5 linked regions of the Xenopus tropicalis genome follow. The protein of the gene in region 4 interacts with the protein of the main gene of each other region in a biochemical or structural test. Links are inferred from orthologs where the notes say so. Each region holds a gene or a part of one and is shown on either strand. Other genes may lie near its edges. The genes, in order: fus, khdrbs1, ubap2l, prmt1 and habp4.

Evidence for each region.
Region 1: of the proteins of prmt1 (region 4) and fus, one has a biochemical effect on the other in vitro, tested with the Homo sapiens proteins (3 studies listed by BioGRID). The link is inferred for Xenopus tropicalis from reciprocal best matches to the Homo sapiens genes PRMT1 and FUS.
Region 2: of the proteins of prmt1 (region 4) and khdrbs1, one has a biochemical effect on the other in vitro, tested with the Homo sapiens proteins (2 studies listed by BioGRID). The link is inferred for Xenopus tropicalis from reciprocal best matches to the Homo sapiens genes PRMT1 and KHDRBS1.
Region 3: of the proteins of prmt1 (region 4) and ubap2l, one has a biochemical effect on the other in vitro, tested with the Homo sapiens proteins (2 studies listed by BioGRID, with this or other methods). The link is inferred for Xenopus tropicalis from reciprocal best matches to the Homo sapiens genes PRMT1 and UBAP2L.
Region 5: the proteins of prmt1 (region 4) and habp4 form a complex in vitro, tested with the Homo sapiens proteins (2 studies listed by BioGRID, with this or other methods). The link is inferred for Xenopus tropicalis from reciprocal best matches to the Homo sapiens genes PRMT1 and HABP4.

Annotation. Positions count from the first base shown.
Region 1 is NC_030685.2:6,027,078-6,030,597, forward strand, and holds part of fus (RNA-binding protein FUS), read right to left. Parts: intron 3,332-3,520; coding exon 3,297-3,331; intron 2,372-3,296; coding exon 2,333-2,371; intron 2,226-2,332; coding exon 2,119-2,225; intron 1,272-2,118; coding exon 1,142-1,271; intron 935-1,141; coding exon 830-934; intron 231-829; coding exon 107-230; intron 20-106; coding exon 1-19. UniProt on the Homo sapiens protein: DNA/RNA-binding protein that plays a role in various cellular processes such as transcription regulation, RNA splicing, RNA transport, DNA repair and damage response. Binds to ssRNA containing the consensus sequence 5'-AGGUAA-3'.
Region 2 is NC_030678.2:86,528,317-86,531,256, forward strand, and holds the end of khdrbs1 (KH domain-containing, RNA-binding, signal transduction-associated protein 1), read left to right. Parts: intron 1-393; coding exon 394-461; intron 462-712; coding exon 713-771; intron 772-1,827; coding exon 1,828-1,928; 3' UTR 1,929-2,420; downstream 2,421-2,940. UniProt on the Homo sapiens protein: Recruited and tyrosine phosphorylated by several receptor systems, for example the T-cell, leptin and insulin receptors. Once phosphorylated, functions as an adapter protein in signal transduction cascades by binding to SH2 and SH3 domain-containing proteins.
Region 3 is NC_030684.2:143,447,719-143,451,238, forward strand, and holds part of ubap2l (ubiquitin-associated protein 2-like), read right to left. Parts: intron 2,585-3,520; coding exon 2,322-2,584; intron 1,757-2,321; coding exon 1,584-1,756; intron 1,332-1,583; coding exon 1,127-1,331; intron 919-1,126; coding exon 864-918; intron 266-863; coding exon 97-265; intron 1-96. UniProt on the Homo sapiens protein: Recruits the ubiquitination machinery to RNA polymerase II for polyubiquitination, removal and degradation, when the transcription-coupled nucleotide excision repair (TC-NER) machinery fails to resolve DNA damage.
Region 4 is NC_030683.2:111,009,007-111,011,931, reverse strand, and holds part of prmt1 (protein arginine N-methyltransferase 1), read right to left. Parts: intron 2,108-2,925; coding exon 2,006-2,107; intron 1,929-2,005; coding exon 1,773-1,928; intron 1,125-1,772; coding exon 1,061-1,124; intron 981-1,060; coding exon 838-980; intron 557-837; coding exon 469-556; intron 1-468. UniProt on the Homo sapiens protein: Arginine methyltransferase that methylates (mono and asymmetric dimethylation) the guanidino nitrogens of arginyl residues present in proteins such as ESR1, histone H2, H3 and H4, FMR1, ILF3, HNRNPA1, HNRNPD, NFATC2IP, SUPT5H, TAF15, EWS, HABP4, SERBP1, RBM15, FOXO1, CHTOP, MAP3K5/ASK1, MICU1 and NPRL2.
Region 5 is NC_030677.2:136,242,919-136,246,438, reverse strand, and holds part of habp4 (intracellular hyaluronan-binding protein 4), read right to left. Parts: intron 2,204-3,520; coding exon of another isoform or gene 2,132-2,203; intron 1,437-2,131; coding exon 1,359-1,436; intron 300-1,358; coding exon 137-299; intron 1-136. UniProt on the Homo sapiens protein: Ribosome-binding protein that promotes ribosome hibernation, a process during which ribosomes are stabilized in an inactive state and preserved from proteasomal degradation.

The sequences.
Region 1 (3,520 bases), on a different chromosome or scaffold from region 4:
GTTCATATTCTCACAACTCCTGCGAAGAGACGAACAATTTAGCCACAGGTACATACACACAATGCAATAAATAAAAAAAAAATTATACTGATATAACTAAACTTACGGGTTGGGGCACTTCCAGTCTCCAGCTCGTTGCTGGCCTCCACCACCACTTGGGTATCCACCACTACCACCCCGACTGCCACTTCCTCCAGGGGGCCCACCAAAGCCTCCACGTCCCATTGGTCCTATTTGCAGGTTAAAACAAAAGAAAACTCCATTGAGACAAAATGCTAAAATCTGAATATTACTGTCAGAGCTGCTGCAGTTACAAATACCTGCCAATAGGTGGAGTCAGTCATACAGAGTTGGAACATATGACTGAATCATCATGTATGTAACACTTTATAAAATACCTGCAGTATTCAGTTATCCCTTTTTTACACACAAGCTGTGTCAATTCATTGACATTTTATTACTGATTACTGGCTGAATCTCAAGAGATTACACATTTTATTCTAGTTGAGAGCAGAGTATAATAAAGGGGTGGGCAAACTACAGCCTGCAGGCCACGTCTGGCCCCTTGGTCCGTTTAATCCGGCCGCTGACTCCGCAACTCTCATCACGTAAGACTTGGGTGTCTGGGGACTGACAAGCGGAAACAGCGTTACCCTGGCCCTACTCGGCGGTAAGTCAACGTGGCCTGAGCCAAAAAGTTTGCCCACCCCTGGTATAATACGTGCAACAAAATCCAGTATTTCTCTGCAAATGCCGACTGGATAATTGAAGAAAACAGATTTTAAACTAAATGCTCAGAGTTGTAAATAAAAGGCAATTAAAAACTCACCGCCACCACGTCCTCTGCCTCTTCCATTGCCGCCACCTCGACTATTAAAATCTGCTCTTCTTGTGGCAAAAGACACTTTTATCGGATTGCCGGAGAACTCTTTGCCTACAGATAAATGGAATATTTCATTCATTATCTATATAATTCCCATAACCTTTATAACATGCTCATATCAGGCACTTCGTTCTGCTTGCCTGGTTCACCGAATAACTTAACATACACAAACCTATGTCAAGCTGAGCAGCCATGGGTTTACATTTAAAAGTAAGTCAGAATTTAGATATTTTTGGAAGAAAAAAAAAGAAAACTCACCATCAAACCAATCGATAGCAGCCTTGGCAGATGGTGGGTCATCAAAGGAAACTGTGGCTTCTCCTTTCAGTTTGCCAGTTTCACGGTCTGTGTAAAGGTTAATCATAGGCTGCCCAGTCTTCTTGTTAGTCTAGTGAGAGAAAATTTATAATGTAACTAAAATGTTTCAGCAATACTGGACAGATGCAAACAGTCTAACCTCTAAGGCAGTGATCCCCAACCAGTGGCAGGAGAGCTACATGTTGCTACCTGCCCCTTTGATGGGGGAAGCAGGTGCCATTTTGACATTTCTGGCTTGGAGGCAAGTTTTGGAAGCCCAGAGACCGTTTTACCCCAAGCAGAGACTACAGTTCACATGAGGTTACCAAATAGCCAATCAGAGTCCTTATTTGGTACCCCAAAGAACTTTATTCATGCTTGTGTGGCCCTCAAGTAAAGGCTGGAGATTCCTGCTCTAAGGTCGTAAAATTGGCTTAGTGAATGTTCGCATTGTTTGTTGCACATAAATAAACCTATAGTTATCAAGCTTTACAATTGATCATACATTTACTCAAACCCACCAAAAACTTGTAAAAGCCATCAGTTGTGCTACAGCCCCATGTATCATAAAACCCCTTAACATACTATTGTCACAAGTTTGCCCATACATGCACAATACTGCTATACATGAGGGAGCTGACCTTCCACCAGTTCTATTGGTAGCAGAAACACACTAATGTATATCATTTACTCAAACCACATAAAACTGATGACAATATCTATGTGAAAGGCCCCATTGTGACCTCTGCTGGTAGGTTTGCAGTTACCCATTTGATTGAGCTCAGACACAATACCCATTGCCTTTCACAATAAACCTGACCCAGTTGTTGGTTAACACCACATGGGATTCGAAACCCACAGCATTAATAGTTGACAGAAATAAAGTCACTTCTAAATAACTTGCAAAATGTATGTTAAAGTGTCAAGGTCACCCTTACCTTAATGATTCCAATTTGTTTGAAGTAGTCAGCAACTGACTCAACTGTAACATTCTCTCCAAGTCCTTGCACGAAGATTGTGTTGTTGTCAGAGTTGTCTTGTTCGGCTTTAAAGAAATAATACATTTGTTAATTAAAATTCAAAGTTGCACTGTTGTCACAAACACTTTCCAAAACACTAAAAAAAAAAAAAAAACAATTATCAGATACTGACCCATTTCATGTCTGGGGGGTCCGCCGCCTTCACGTGGTCCTTGAGAAAAGCAGAGACAAAAGCCATTTTAGAAAAGTGATTTTCCATTGTGGGAAGTCCAGCAAAACCTAAAGCCCACACCCAAACATTCACAAAACACCCATATGAACCAGTCGGTTAAACATTAAGACGTTAAAATCCCAAATCTGAATGACGCCGAGAATTATGGTCTTAGAACACATTCGAGGGTAACAGAAAGCCCATGTTATATGTAGGCAGAGCGGTATTGTGTAAACCTTGTAGCCTAACACCACACAAGCAATAGAAGTGAACCACTGCAAGCATATTAATGATACCATAATAATGTGTATTGTGAATGCTCATTCCTAGTTCCGTTACCTCCCCTGCTTGCACAATTCCCTTTGTTGCATTGGTGACTTTTTCCCGGTCAGTTTGCACGATGTAAAGATTTGCACACACTTCATTGCAGAATATAAACGGTTACATTCCCTGCATGCTAGCCAGTGAAGGTATCACATACACCATTATATGTACAAGGCACCTCTGCACCATAACCTTTTGATTATTTTTTTTTTTAAAGTCACACCGTAAGTCTCCTACATGGTTACACCTCATCGACTTATAGTATAATATCTATTTACCAAGTATAAAAATATATTTACCAAGAACCCAACCGTAACATTGTTTGTAAAGTCCCAGTTTGCATGCATATACCACATCTGTGCCCTTATTAAATGCATTCTCTGCATTGGTCTCAGTGCACACACCGTAACATTTGCTTTTTTTCTGATGTCTGATGTAACCGTTTAATTGCACTGACGCAAAAAGTTACATACACCGGAATGTTTTAGAAGCCCACTACTTCACAATGGAGTATTCCAGTTATACACCCAGTGCTATATGAATGACTTTAAATGGAAAACAGTACAGGAGTTGGGTTTGAGATTTTGAACTCTTCACTTACCACCAAATTTACTGAATCCTCCCCGTTCACCACCGCTGAGAAGACAATTAGGAGAAATTGAAGTTTTTGTTTGTGTTTCCCGAGGCTACAGTAGTTTTCTGATTCAGCAACACACCGTGTCTAGGCGTGCCAGCACTCTGCACAACTAACACACTTGCTTCTTTACGTAAGTTCCACTGCTAAAGCGTTTGTGCTACATGACGCCTTCTTTGATTCTATGCCAT
Region 2 (2,940 bases), on a different chromosome or scaffold from region 4:
AATACTCCTAATAACTTTACAAATGTTAACCTCCTAGGTCACTGCTGTCCTACTTCTGTGGTACCAAAGGCTGGAATTTTTCTGGGCTAAATTGTAGAGGACTGATAATGGAAGCCAGTTTTGACCACTCTCCTTTTTTTTAAACCGCACCACTTCAAACCATGTTATAACAAACTTTTAAGACCATACCCATATTAATGTGGTAGCACAGCAAAAACCCAAATGGTTGGTGCTCACTGTAGGGATATCGCCCACAGAGGGGATCTGTGGGCTGCCAGTTGGACAGTACTGTCCTAGGTTGTGCTGGTCACCTGTAGTATAGTAGGCATTGTATTAGACTTAGTTCTCTATTAATTCCCTTGCTTTAAAGGCTAATTGTAAACATTTTTTAAGGGTTATGAAGACTCCTATGCAGAGCCAAGCTATGAAGGTTATGAGGGATATTACAGTCAAAGCCAAGGGTAAGTTTCATTTTACCTCAGTTAGTGTTCTTTTGGTCCCAAATATGATTTTATTGCTATTAAAGCATTATAATATTTGGAAATCATAGCATCTGTGCAAAGTCTAGATATGCAGCTTAGTGTATTTAGTAAAAATTATAAAATTCTGCTATGCGCTTTGGGTCCTACGGGAGAAAAGTGCTTTACAAATGGTTGTTGTTGTTGTTGTTGTTGTACTAAAATTGTACATTTTCTTTATCTAAAATTTTCAGAGAGACTGAATATTATGATTATGGTCATGGAGAGGGTCCTGAATCGTATGAGAGTTATGGTAAGTATCCAGGAGTGGATAGATAAGGTCCCCTATCTAATTAGACTGATAAATAAGATGACATAAGCTCATTCAGTTATGCTTAAAGGAATACTGTCATGGGAAAACCTGTGTTTTTCAAAACACATCAGTTCATAGAGCTTCTCCAGCAGAATCCTACATTGAAATCTGTATTTCAAAAACAGATTTTTTTATATTTAATTTTGAAACTTCACATGGGGCTAGCCATAGTCTTAATTTCCCAGGGTGTTACAGCCATGTGACCCGTGCCCAGTTAAAAGGTAGGCCGCCAGGCCACAAATATATAAACGATATAGCATATGCAAACTAGACAAATGTTTATAATCAATCTTTGTTCCATTTGACAAATGCATACGTTTAATGTAAATACAATTATATGTTTACCAAATATGATAAAAACAATAAACATCAAGTTTAAAAAAAATAAATAAATGTAATTTGCTTGATGTGTAGTACCTCTAGAACATGAAGAATTTAGTATTTGACCATTGTATGGCTGTATCTGTCTTCATTCTCTTTAAAATATGCTATTATGTTTCCTACTTATGGTAAAAGGGATATTTTGTCTTTAAATTTTTTTTTTCTTATGCTCCCCCATGTAGAAAACAATGAACAACTGCAAAGTTCTTTATATTACATTTTAAAGAAAAACCTAGATAATTTGTGTAAACTTGCTTGACAGCTTTTTGATCCTTTTAAAAGAATCTCTTCTCTTTACTGGGCACTTGTAAGAGGGGTTTAACATCTGTAACATCTGCCCTTTTAGAGTGAAATGACATAAAGGCTGTTTATGCCACAATAATTGACTGACAGAGCTCCTGCAGTGTTAATGGAATTTTATGTTTGCAGTTGGAATTATGTTCAACTGGTAATGTTTTTTTTTGGGGGGGGGGGGGGGGGGCTTGGGTGGGAGTGACTGCCATTATTAATAACTTATAGGAATATTACTTTTTACTGTTGTGCTTCGCACTTTTTTTTTTTTTTTTTTTTTACTATTGTAGTTTTTAATTGTGTGTATATGTATTTGTTTTTAAGGACAAGATAATTGGAATGGATCACGACCTTCACTTAAGGTTCCCTCTTCACGTCCTTTGAAGGGCGGTGCATACAGAGAACATCCTTATGGGCGCTTTTGAACATCTTTTCATCCAAACCATGTTTACCGATGTCTTGTGTTCGGGACTTCCTGTTCCTTAACCCACAATACACAAGTAAATTCTCTGTGCTCTGTGACCTCCCTCATATAGCTCCCTTTTCCCAAATTCCTTTGAAAGGACAATTTTAAAAAAAAAAATGGAGCAACTCTGAAATAGGCAGACTTTTTTTTAATATTTAGATCGTTTTACTTTGCGTTGTTAAAGAAACAAAAACTTTAAAAAATACAAAATGCTTTACATGTAAAATTTAGCTGCATTAAAGGGTAGTTTTTCAAAGTGACTTCAAAACAAGTTTCTTTAAATAAACAAAAGTAACTATAGCTTTAGGTTCTTTGTCCTGAACTAAGCTGCATTTCAAAATCCCATTACTTTGAGTAGTTAAAATTGTAGCTGTAATATTGTATGCTGTTTAAAACAAAAACTTTTGACTTTGTACTTAAAATCCACTTTATGTTATTAAACCTTATGGACAAAACTTGGTTAATGTTGTCTTAATTCACTTATGCACAAATAGGGAGGTAAGATAAACATTAAAATCAAAGTATAAACATTTAGCTGCAGAAACTGTATATTAAATAATAGGCTGTGTCCGAGTAAAGGGATGCTATCATCACATTCCCCTGCAGTTACATTTTGAAGCAAGGGTTTCATATAAGGCATTTAAAATAACCTTTTCAATATCCCTTTATATAGTTTTTACATTCCACTGTTGTGTTCAGGCCTCCCTGTGTTTTGATTTTATGGATGGTGATGTTTGTCATAAAGACTGTTAAAACTTCTCAAGAAAAGAGAACTTTTTGTGGCTGCAAGGAATTGGTTAGTCACAAATTACAGTAAACTCTGGAAGCAGAAAAAGTAATTTTCTAAATTAAAGAGAATGTTTTCTTTCTTTTTTCAAACTAAGTCTGCTCAACATTATGGGTTTTCAGCCACATTCAACTTTTTTAGTTTTGATGATAGTGTCCCTTTAACCTGCTCTACAGGTTATAGG
Region 3 (3,520 bases), on a different chromosome or scaffold from region 4:
GACATAGAAACTCCCAGCAGCCACAGCAAACAGATAGCTAAGAATGCTGGGACGCGTGACCCCCCCCCCCCCCCAGAGTATGGCAGTGCCACATACCTGAGAGGCGTGGGGGCACTTTGCAGATCCTCAGAGTGAGCGAGGCTACTGAGCTGTGAGGAATGGGCTCCGGCGCCGGTGAGCAGGGACGATGTAGACACCGGGTCGCTGAGGGGAACAATGGTGGGAGCAGAGGGTGAATCTGCCTTCACACTGGGCACAGAGGGAACTGGAAGAGATGATGAAATGAGAAGCATGAAGTCGCTCTGCCTGAAAGCAAGGAGCCTAAATGTGCTGTAAATACAGATTCCCAATGCAGGAAAGCTGTCGGCACCCAGCAAAATCCTCCGCCAAAGGCGCTGACAGATTACTTAGCCAGGGGCCATATTTGTTTAGCACGCGTTGTCCCCCCTTTATGGCTACGGAAAGTCAGAAAGGGTCTACTAGCGTGCACTGCCACCAACACACTATATAACTGTGTGACCAGTTGCACTGTATAAGCACAACAGCAACACTATCTTTTAGTATAATGTAATTGGTTTGCATTGTTCTTTTTCAGTTCAGCAAGCTCTCTAGTTTGACATTTCACCAGCTATCTGGTTGCTAGGGTCTTGTTTACCTTAGCAACCAGGCAGTAGATTGATCGAGAGACTGAATATAAAGATAATAAATAGAAAGTAACAATAATATCTTTTTACGCTCACACAGCAATAGTTTTTGGCTGCCGGGGTCGGTGACCCCCATTTGAAAGCTGGAAGGACGTAGAAAAAGGCAAAAACTTAAAATAAACATTTTCAAAGTTGCTAGGAATAGGACATTCTACTTACCCTCGACTGACACCGGGGCTTGCAACGTCGGAGCCTGCACTGAACTGAAGCCATTCTGCAGAGACACAATGGGGGGAGATAGAACAGTGAGTGGGGGTACCGATATCCTGAACAACTACAACAGCTGGGAGCAGGCACAATCAGACCCTAAAAGCCTACAGATACCGGCCGGACCACCCAGTGTATGCCACATTAACAGAAATAAAGGGAAAGACCACCTCTGGATACTGAGCCCCTAAAAATCGACAAGCCACACTACTCACCTTGGATTGGCTGAGGTCTTTCTGTGGGGAGGATGAGGAAGAGGAGGAGATGGGGTTGGGGTACCGCCGGGTCTGTGTGGCCCTCTGTTCGTACACTGGGCCTTGGGTGCTGCTCTGAGGTGTAAACGTTGCTGACTGTATGCTGCTGCTGCCCTGATAGGCAGACTCTGGGCTCTGATTGGCTGCGATGGTGTTGGGCGATTCACTGTGAAGGGAGGGGAAGAGTTAATGGCTGTACCTATAGAGCAGTTGGGGCTATGTGGGTGCAGATTCAAGATGAACCACCAGGTATTTCTGATGGGTCCCCTGTCAGCACCTCATTCCTGTGCCATGAAACTGTCCCCCCTTAGTGACTACTGATACAGCCAGAAAGGGTCTACTGTCATGGAATCCATTGGGGCCCCCCCCCCTTCCCATCCTTAATAGTGACTAAATAGAAATGGAGCGGCCAACTTACCTTACGGGGCTGGTATAGAGGCTGTTTTGGGACTGGCTCACAGCCACGTTGGTGGTGGGTGAAGACTCGTACTCAGGGAGGACAGGCTCAGATCCAAACAGCAAGGCCCCGAATTGCAGGTTTAGCCCAGAGATGTCAGAAGAGCCGGGCATTTCCACTGCCAGAGCAGGTATCTGTAAGCATTGAAACCAGAGACTAAGCCCGGGGCCCGAGACTAAGCCCGGGGCCCGAGACTAAGCCCGGGGCCCGAGACTAAGCCCGGGGCCCGAGACTAAGCCCGGGGCCCGAGACTAAGCCCGGGGCCCGAGACTAAGCCCGGGGCCCGAGACTAAGCCCGGGGCCCGAGACTAAGCCCGGGGCCCGAGACTAAGCCCGGGGCCCGAGACTAAGCCCGGGGCCCGAGACTAAGCCCGGGGCCCGAGACTAAGCCCGGGGCCCGAGACTAAGCCCGGGGCCCGAGACTAAGCCCGGGGCCCGAGACTAAGCCCGGGGCCCGAGACTAAGCCCGGGGCCCCAGACTAAGCCCGGGGCCCCAGACTAAGCCCGGGGCCCCAGACTAAGCCCGGGGCCCCAGACTAAGCCCGGGGCCCCAGACTAAGCCCGGGGCCCCAGACTAAGCCCGGGGCCCCAGACTAAGCCCGGGGCCCCAGACTAAGCCCGGGGCCCCAGACTAAGCCCGGGGCCCCAGACTAAGCCCGGGGCCCCAGACTAAGCCATAAGCCTGAGCTGCTTGAATACCTTGGATGTTAGAGAGGCTTTCTTTTTCTGCTGCTTCATCTTCTGCTGAGCCGGCTGAGGGCTACTAGACTGGTTCTCTGAGGACACCGGGGACATCTGGGGGGCAGTGTTGCTCTTGCCATGGAGAGGGGAAGATGGACACACTGGCACAGCAGACGAAGTGCTGACCACAGGCGTCTTCTCCTGCAGATACACTTCCATCATGGTGGAGGCCTGGGGAAAGCTTTGACGCTTGCTGAACGGGTCAGATGGACTCTTCATATCTGAAGCCACACACAAAACATACACTATAATACACCCTTGTTCTGGGGATGGAACTATTAATCATAATATGTTAGAGCCCCAACAACAGCAATGGATGTGGAAATGTTGGCTCGCTGCAGGAGAATCTGGCCATATGAACCGAGAATCACTCCATGCTGGGAACTACATTACTCTTGCATGCACTGTCCCCCCTTTATGGCTACTGAAACAACCAAAAAGGGTCTACTGGCATGCAGCAGTGGGATAATAGCCTCTGGGAAGGGACTGGGGCTGTGGGATAGCAGGTATAGTAGGGAGAGATGGTGCCTATAGTAGCAGTGGGGGGATAATAGCCTCTGGGAAGGGACTGGGGCTGTGGGATAGCAGGTATAGTAGGGAGAGATGGTGCCTATAGTAGCAGTGGGGGGATAATAGCCTCTGGGAAGGGACTGGTGCTGTGGGATAGCAGGTATAGTAGGGAGAGATGGTGCCTATAGTAGCAGTGGGGGGATAATAGCCTCTGGGAAGGGACTGGGGCTGTGGGATAGCAGGTATAGTAGGGAGAGATGGTGCCTATAGTAGCAGTGGGGGGATAATAGCCTCTGGGAAGGGACTGGGGCTGTGGGATAGCAGGTATAGTAGGGAGAGATGGTGCCTATAGTAGCAAGTGGGGGGATAATAACCTCTGGGAAGGGACTGGGGCTGTGGGATAGCAGGTATAGTAGGGAGAGATGGTGCCTATAGTAGCAGTGGGGGGATAATAGCCTCTGGGAAGGGACTGGGGCTGTGGGATAGCAGGTATAGTAGGGAGAGATGGTGCCTATAGTAGCAGTGGGGGGATAATAGCCTCTGGAAGGACTGGGGCTGTGGGATAGCAGGTATAGTAGGGAGAGATGGTGCCTATAGTAGCAGGGGGGGGATAATAGCCTCTGGGAAGGGACTGGGGCTGTGGGATA
Region 4 (2,925 bases):
GAAGCAAAGTACATGACAAATTGTGTTGAGGCAGTTAAACCCCTTTTCAAAGCAGTTCTGGACTGGTTTTAAACAAGTTACAAAGTTTTGGGGGCACAGTAGAAGGCCATACATTAATGCATAGCAAGAACTAACTTTGAACTGACTAAAAAAGTCTAAATATAAAAATGGGCTTTAACCATAGAAATGAAGTGGTTAGGCAGAACTTTGACCAGTGCAGTTATATATTTAAGGAATACATAATCTAAGTCTGCCCAGCTGCATTTCCATTCATCTCCATAACAGTGCCAATACTTATTATAGCTGGGAATGATGGAAATTTGTACCATGCAACACATCGGCACTTACACCAGTCACACTGAAATCTGGTATATTAAACACACATATAGGAAGAGATGCCACTGGGCTTTCACATGCATGGATTTGCTTTAACTCAAAACTGGCACCAAAGCAGCAAATAAGACTTACAGTGAATTTTGTAGTCTTTGTATTGTCTATCCTCAATAGCAGTTACATACAGTGTAGCACGATCTGGAAATATTAACCCATCTGGAGTCTGAAAGATATGCAAGTACATAGAAGCACATGGCATTAAAAAAAAAACTTCTGGCATTTCAACTAAAGTATACATTTCCTTAGCAAGTGTATATACAAGGTTACATTACATCCAGCTATCACTGGTGTAAACCCAGTAATAGCTGATGTAATGTCATTAGCATTGTTGTATTAGGTACAACAATGCAGAGAGCCTTAGCACCATTGGCACAATCAAATCCAACAAACTGTTTACATTTTTAAATACAAGATACTCGTTCTTGACACTTCTTGCGAACTTACCAGCCATTTATCCCGTGCATAGATAACAGTGTTCAGCATTGATTCATAGAACAGACAATATCCCATCCATTCACTGATTATGATGTCCACTTTTTCTACTGGGAGCTCCACCTCTTCTACTTTGCCTTTGATGATTGTAACCACTAAAGGAGAATAATAAGTGGTTAGAATGCAGTCTAGATGGAAACAGTAATGCACTTAAGACAACCGTGTTGTTACCTACCATGATCTAGTTTATTTGCCTTCACGATTTTTATGGCATAGTCAGATATACTTGAGCACTCAATCTAAGTGAAAAAGAATGTAGTGTTAGTTGAGAAGATTTAAACAAATACAATTGTATGTATCCAACCCACTTACCCCCTCTCTGCCTCAACATTCCTCCCCCCCTAAACTTAAATGGATACAGACAAAATTACTCCTCAATTAATGTACATAAGTTACAGGCAATGCTGATCATTTTTAAGTACTTGATGTTCCTAAATGTGTTTTGCCAACCTGACTGTCCCTTCTCAACCTGTCAGTTATAGCTTCTAATGCCAACTGACTCCTACTGCTGCATAAATGGCAGCCCCCTCAATGGAAAATGGGGATTGGCTGTGTAATGTAAAAGCACTGGGCAAACACTTCTATGGCAAAATTATTAATGCATGCAAAGAATGTCCTGTTTTAAAGAAGGGTTTAAATTCTTGTGTCAGTGTCTAATATACGCTATATTAAAAATACTGCATCACAGCACCTGCAGGAAAGGGACTATGATAAGAAATATTCAGATATATGGTGCACACTACCAAGCACCAGTCAGGGGAATGTAAGAGGACAAACTTCTATACCACCTACTAGCTAGTAGAGCTGGATGCATCAGGGAACATGCCTAAAAAAAAAACTCAGCGTTTCTAAATCGCAACCCCATGGGGTAGAGGTTTTTATCTTACCCCAATAACTTTCTTGGCACCAGCCTTTGCTGCAAACATGCAGAGAATACCCGTGCCACTCCCAACATCCAAGACTACTTTATCTTTAAATAGATGTCTGTTGTGAAACATTGAGTTACGATATGTCAGCGTTCGAACTTCATCTTTTAACATCTCCTGCAGAAAGAAAATGGATCAGAAAAACTCATGGACAGTTATCTTTAAAATATTAGTCTACGCAGGGGTTAACTTACCTCATGGATGCCAAAGTGAGCATACGAGTCAAAGTAGTAATCTTTTGATGTCATGTCCTCCGCATTTGGCTTCACACTGCTCTCAGGCTGAGTACAAGAAACCTTCAAATAAGAAAATGCATGCATAAGTCTTAGACACCCATATACAGGCAAGACCTCCAAGGAACAAGACACCTAACATAAGCAATATGGGTGCCTGAAGAACCACATTACTGCCTTGTGATGTTTCAATTTCATATTGCATTCACATCACTCATGATTAGATTAATTCTACAACCTAGAGACAGAATGCAGATGGTAAAAATAACTTCTAGAATGCCATGTTTCCCAGCTGTGGGCCAAAATGCTGACAGCTACTGTCACAGTAGAAGCCATTTTATAATACTCCTTCCTTCTGTACAGTCTTAAAGAGCCAGCAAACTATAGTGAAAGTATTCCTGCAACTGTAAATTACCAACCATTACCTGAATGTCTGCATTTATCACACATATGCTTTGAATTTGCAACAGAAGAAAACTTGTGTTCTGGAATGGCAAAGAGCCCAAATCTCAATCCAATAGAGATGCCATGGCACAACCAAAGACTATATAAACAATTTATGTTTAGTTTAAGCAAGTTACGCCTCATTTTTCATAAATGGCACAACATATGTACAGGTAGAGTAACCCATAGCGGCCAGATGTTTACTTTGAAACAGTAAATACTGTAACTGGGTGCTGTAATTAGACTTATCAATAACTATATATAGCTGAAAACCAGATAATGTGAGTAATGCAGAAATCCAGGTACTGAAGTTTGCAAACTTCTTACAAAAGAAAAATTTGAGGTTATGTTTTCTCCATGCTTGCACAGGTTTCCTTTATTCCATTACCTCCCACACTCCCAAAACAGTCAGGTAAACTGGTCCCTGAGAAAACAGA
Region 5 (3,520 bases), on a different chromosome or scaffold from region 4:
GGAAAGGCAGATCACAATTACTGCTTGAAGTGCAACATCTGTGCTTACCACATGGGCACAGGCCCTCAGTGTATAGATTATGATTATTGTGCTGTGTGCTCATCACGGAGGGGAAAAAAAAAAATCAAATACTTACATTTTTATATTTAGATTTATGGATTACCACAGCTTTGGAAGGCACAGAGGTTTCTGGTTTACGCAAGTTAAATTCCGTCTTAGCCCTGTTCTGATCCTGGAGAGACTTCCATTCATCAAGGGACATTTCTTGAGAAAATCCTTCATTTATTTCTTCAGGAACTCTACAAAGACAGACACTCATGTTTAATAATTCTCCATACTCTAAGGCAGGGTTGTCAAACTTAAATCACATAAGGGGGCAAAATCTAAAAACACAGGCTAAGTCGCGGGCCAAATTTTTCATTAATATACTTAGTAAGGTACTAAGGGGTATATTTATCACAATCTGTAAAAAGTGGAGTAAGACATTACCGGTGATGTTGCTCATAGCAGCCAATAGATGCTTTGCTACTGTTGAAATCAGATTACTGATTGGACGCCTTGGGCAACATTACTGGTAATGCTTCACTCCACTTTTTAAACAGCATGATAAATATACCCCTTAGTCTTAGTTACAATGTGAGGAAAATGGAAATTGATCAGGCTGGATTGTCAGACACACTCACCAAAGGCCACATAAAACAGCCAGGTGGGCTGGATTTGGCCCCCGGCCTTGTGTTTGACATATATGCTCTAAGGGCAGAGGCACACGGGGAGATTAGTCGCCCACCATAAATCTTCATTACCACAGGCGACTAATCTCCCCACAATGTCATCCCACCGGCAGCATCGGAAGAATGTAAATCACCTGTGGGATGGCATATGCATCGCTTCAGGTTTTCCCAAGTTTCCTTGTGAGGCAACTTTGGGAAACCAAAGCAAGGCATATGCCATCCCACCAGTGATATCCGGTGCCAGTGGGATGACATTGCGGGGAGATTAGTCGCCTGTGGTAACGAAGATTTATGGTGGGCAAGTAATCTCCCCGAATTCTTTTTGTCGTTAAGGTTTTTTTTTTTTTTTTACAATATCCGACTGCTTCCCTTTACAGTTAAAAGGAATTGTTTGGAAAGAAAAAAAAAAAAAAAAAAAACAAACAACTATTGGCCAAAACATTTAATTTGTGCCATAAGCACAAGTTGTCCAGTTAGCCATAAGCCACATGTGCCGTTGCCTTAGTCATATATGGCTCTTCAGCTCCTACCAATCTATTGTTCCCATGCTATTTATTTCCTGGAATCAGATTAGGAAAAGTAGTTCAGGAAGTGAATGCAAGATGTTCTTTGTGTAACAAAACTTACTTGCCATGTTCTTCCTCTGTTGCTTCTGTTGTTTCAGTAGGCTCAACTTGCTCTTCTACTGGAACCGCCTCAATCTCACTTAAAAAATACAAGTGTATTTGTTTCTTTAGCTAGCGATCTGTTAAACAGCCAGACTAACTAATTGTTGAATGCAAAATATCTATACCCAAAAAATAGCAATATTACAACAGTCACATGTATTCAGACTACATTGGATGGGTAAGAGTTTGAGTTCACCTACTGCAACAAAATGCAAAAACCAAAATATCCTTTAAAATGCTGATCATATCTAGCCTTTTAAAAATTAATGCTACACACCTTTATCAATTAAAGTAGGAATCTCGGTCTGAAGGCTTATACCCATCATTGTAATTTGTTGGCCCTAGGGCCAAACAGTTGAAAAAGCCCCATATAGCCCACCTTAGGTGGGCATATCAGGAGTAAAGATCCTCTTGTTTTGTGCCCTGCCAAACAAGCAGATCTTAACAGATATGGCCACCTCAAGTTCCTTTTACATCTGCAATTTCTAGAATATATCACGGCTTCCTTACCCATATCAGTTCTGTCAAGCACTTATTGTACTATATCATATAGTTTGTTTAGATCAGTGGAGTTTGTTTAGACATGTGGGTTTTGATCAACTAGAAAACTCCAATTATCTGGTTGTTAAACTTTTATTTCCCTGGTATCTAGGTAACATGGACCACCTACTCCATCTTTTGTCACATCTGTATTTTAATAATGCATTAGTCTTAAGGATACCTGGGTCATACCTGAAAGCTTCTTTTATAGAGCCCCAGTTGCGAGGTCCACCTCCACCCCTCTTGTCTTCTGGTCTTATTCTACTAGAGATAATTTGTTGGTTTTGAATGAACAGAGAACATTAAGAGGGACAGATGCATAGGAGAGTTTTCCCCCCATTTTCTTCAGTAATTAAAACGCAAAAACTCACACTAAATATGACAAACAAGCGAGACATGAACTCTCCTGCAATAAAATTCAATGTAAAGCTTCCTGTTGCTGGAACATTGCATCTATCCTGTCATTAATATTCTCGAATCATTACAATTCATCTGCAAGAGTTTCTTCAAATAAAAAATGTTCGTGCATGGATTCGTGTAGAAAAAAGTGTCCCCAGGCAAGTAGTACTTAATGCAGCAGACAAAGCTTTAGGTGCCATTGTGTTAGTCACACTGGGCTAGATACAGAGCAATCCTCCTGTCCCTAGCCTGGCGTGACTGACAACAGGTTTTCCACTCCCAGGCACCTAAAGCTGTGTCTAAAGGATGTAGTAGTGGTGCTGGTTCCAACTCTATCCCCTAGCCCAATGGTACCAGCAGTTTTGTAATCTTATACGTGAAGTCCATGTACAGAGTTCCTACTAATACTGACGTGTTCCTAACTATTTTTATACGAACATATTGATATTACTTAAAAATAAGCACAGAGAGTGGGTTGTTTGGCAAAGTGTGCAACGCTATAGTATATATTGGGAGATTTACAAATGTGTTAGGAACAAGTATCCTCTCCCACTGAGTATTTATGAAGGCACAATTAGTCTAGAAAAACAAGAATCCCATTTGAAGTGTAATGTAAATAGACCAACAGTTATCCAAGAAATAATCTCTGCAGTTGCTGGTTTCAACGTAATATAGAAACTGCTAGGCACATGTTAAGACAAGCAACTGTTATAACTGTCCACAGGGAATTACAAAAGCATTTACATAAAGATCAAATAGCAAAAAACAAATCAAAAACTCGGCGTTAAAGTGTAAAAAAAAAAACCTTCTTGTGTGTGTGTGAATCTTGATTGCTGCTTCCTCAAAAAAGCCCCCTTTGAGTAGGCCTCAAAATGTGTTCCAGGAGAATGATGGAAGCGCATTAGAAAAAAAAAAAAAAGTAAAATAGTGTTAATTCGTACAATACACAACCAGTGTGCAAAATGACAAAACAATCAAGTGAGCAAAGCGTGTGCCTCCACCAAATGTGGTAAAAATGCACACTCACCAGATTACATTACATTAACATTTATTTATAAAGCGGCAACATATTCCGCAGCGCTGTACAATATGTGGGTTACATACATTGGACATACAGAGTAACATATAAAGCAATCAGTAACCGATACAAGAGGTGAAGAGGGCCCTGCCCAAAAGAGCTTA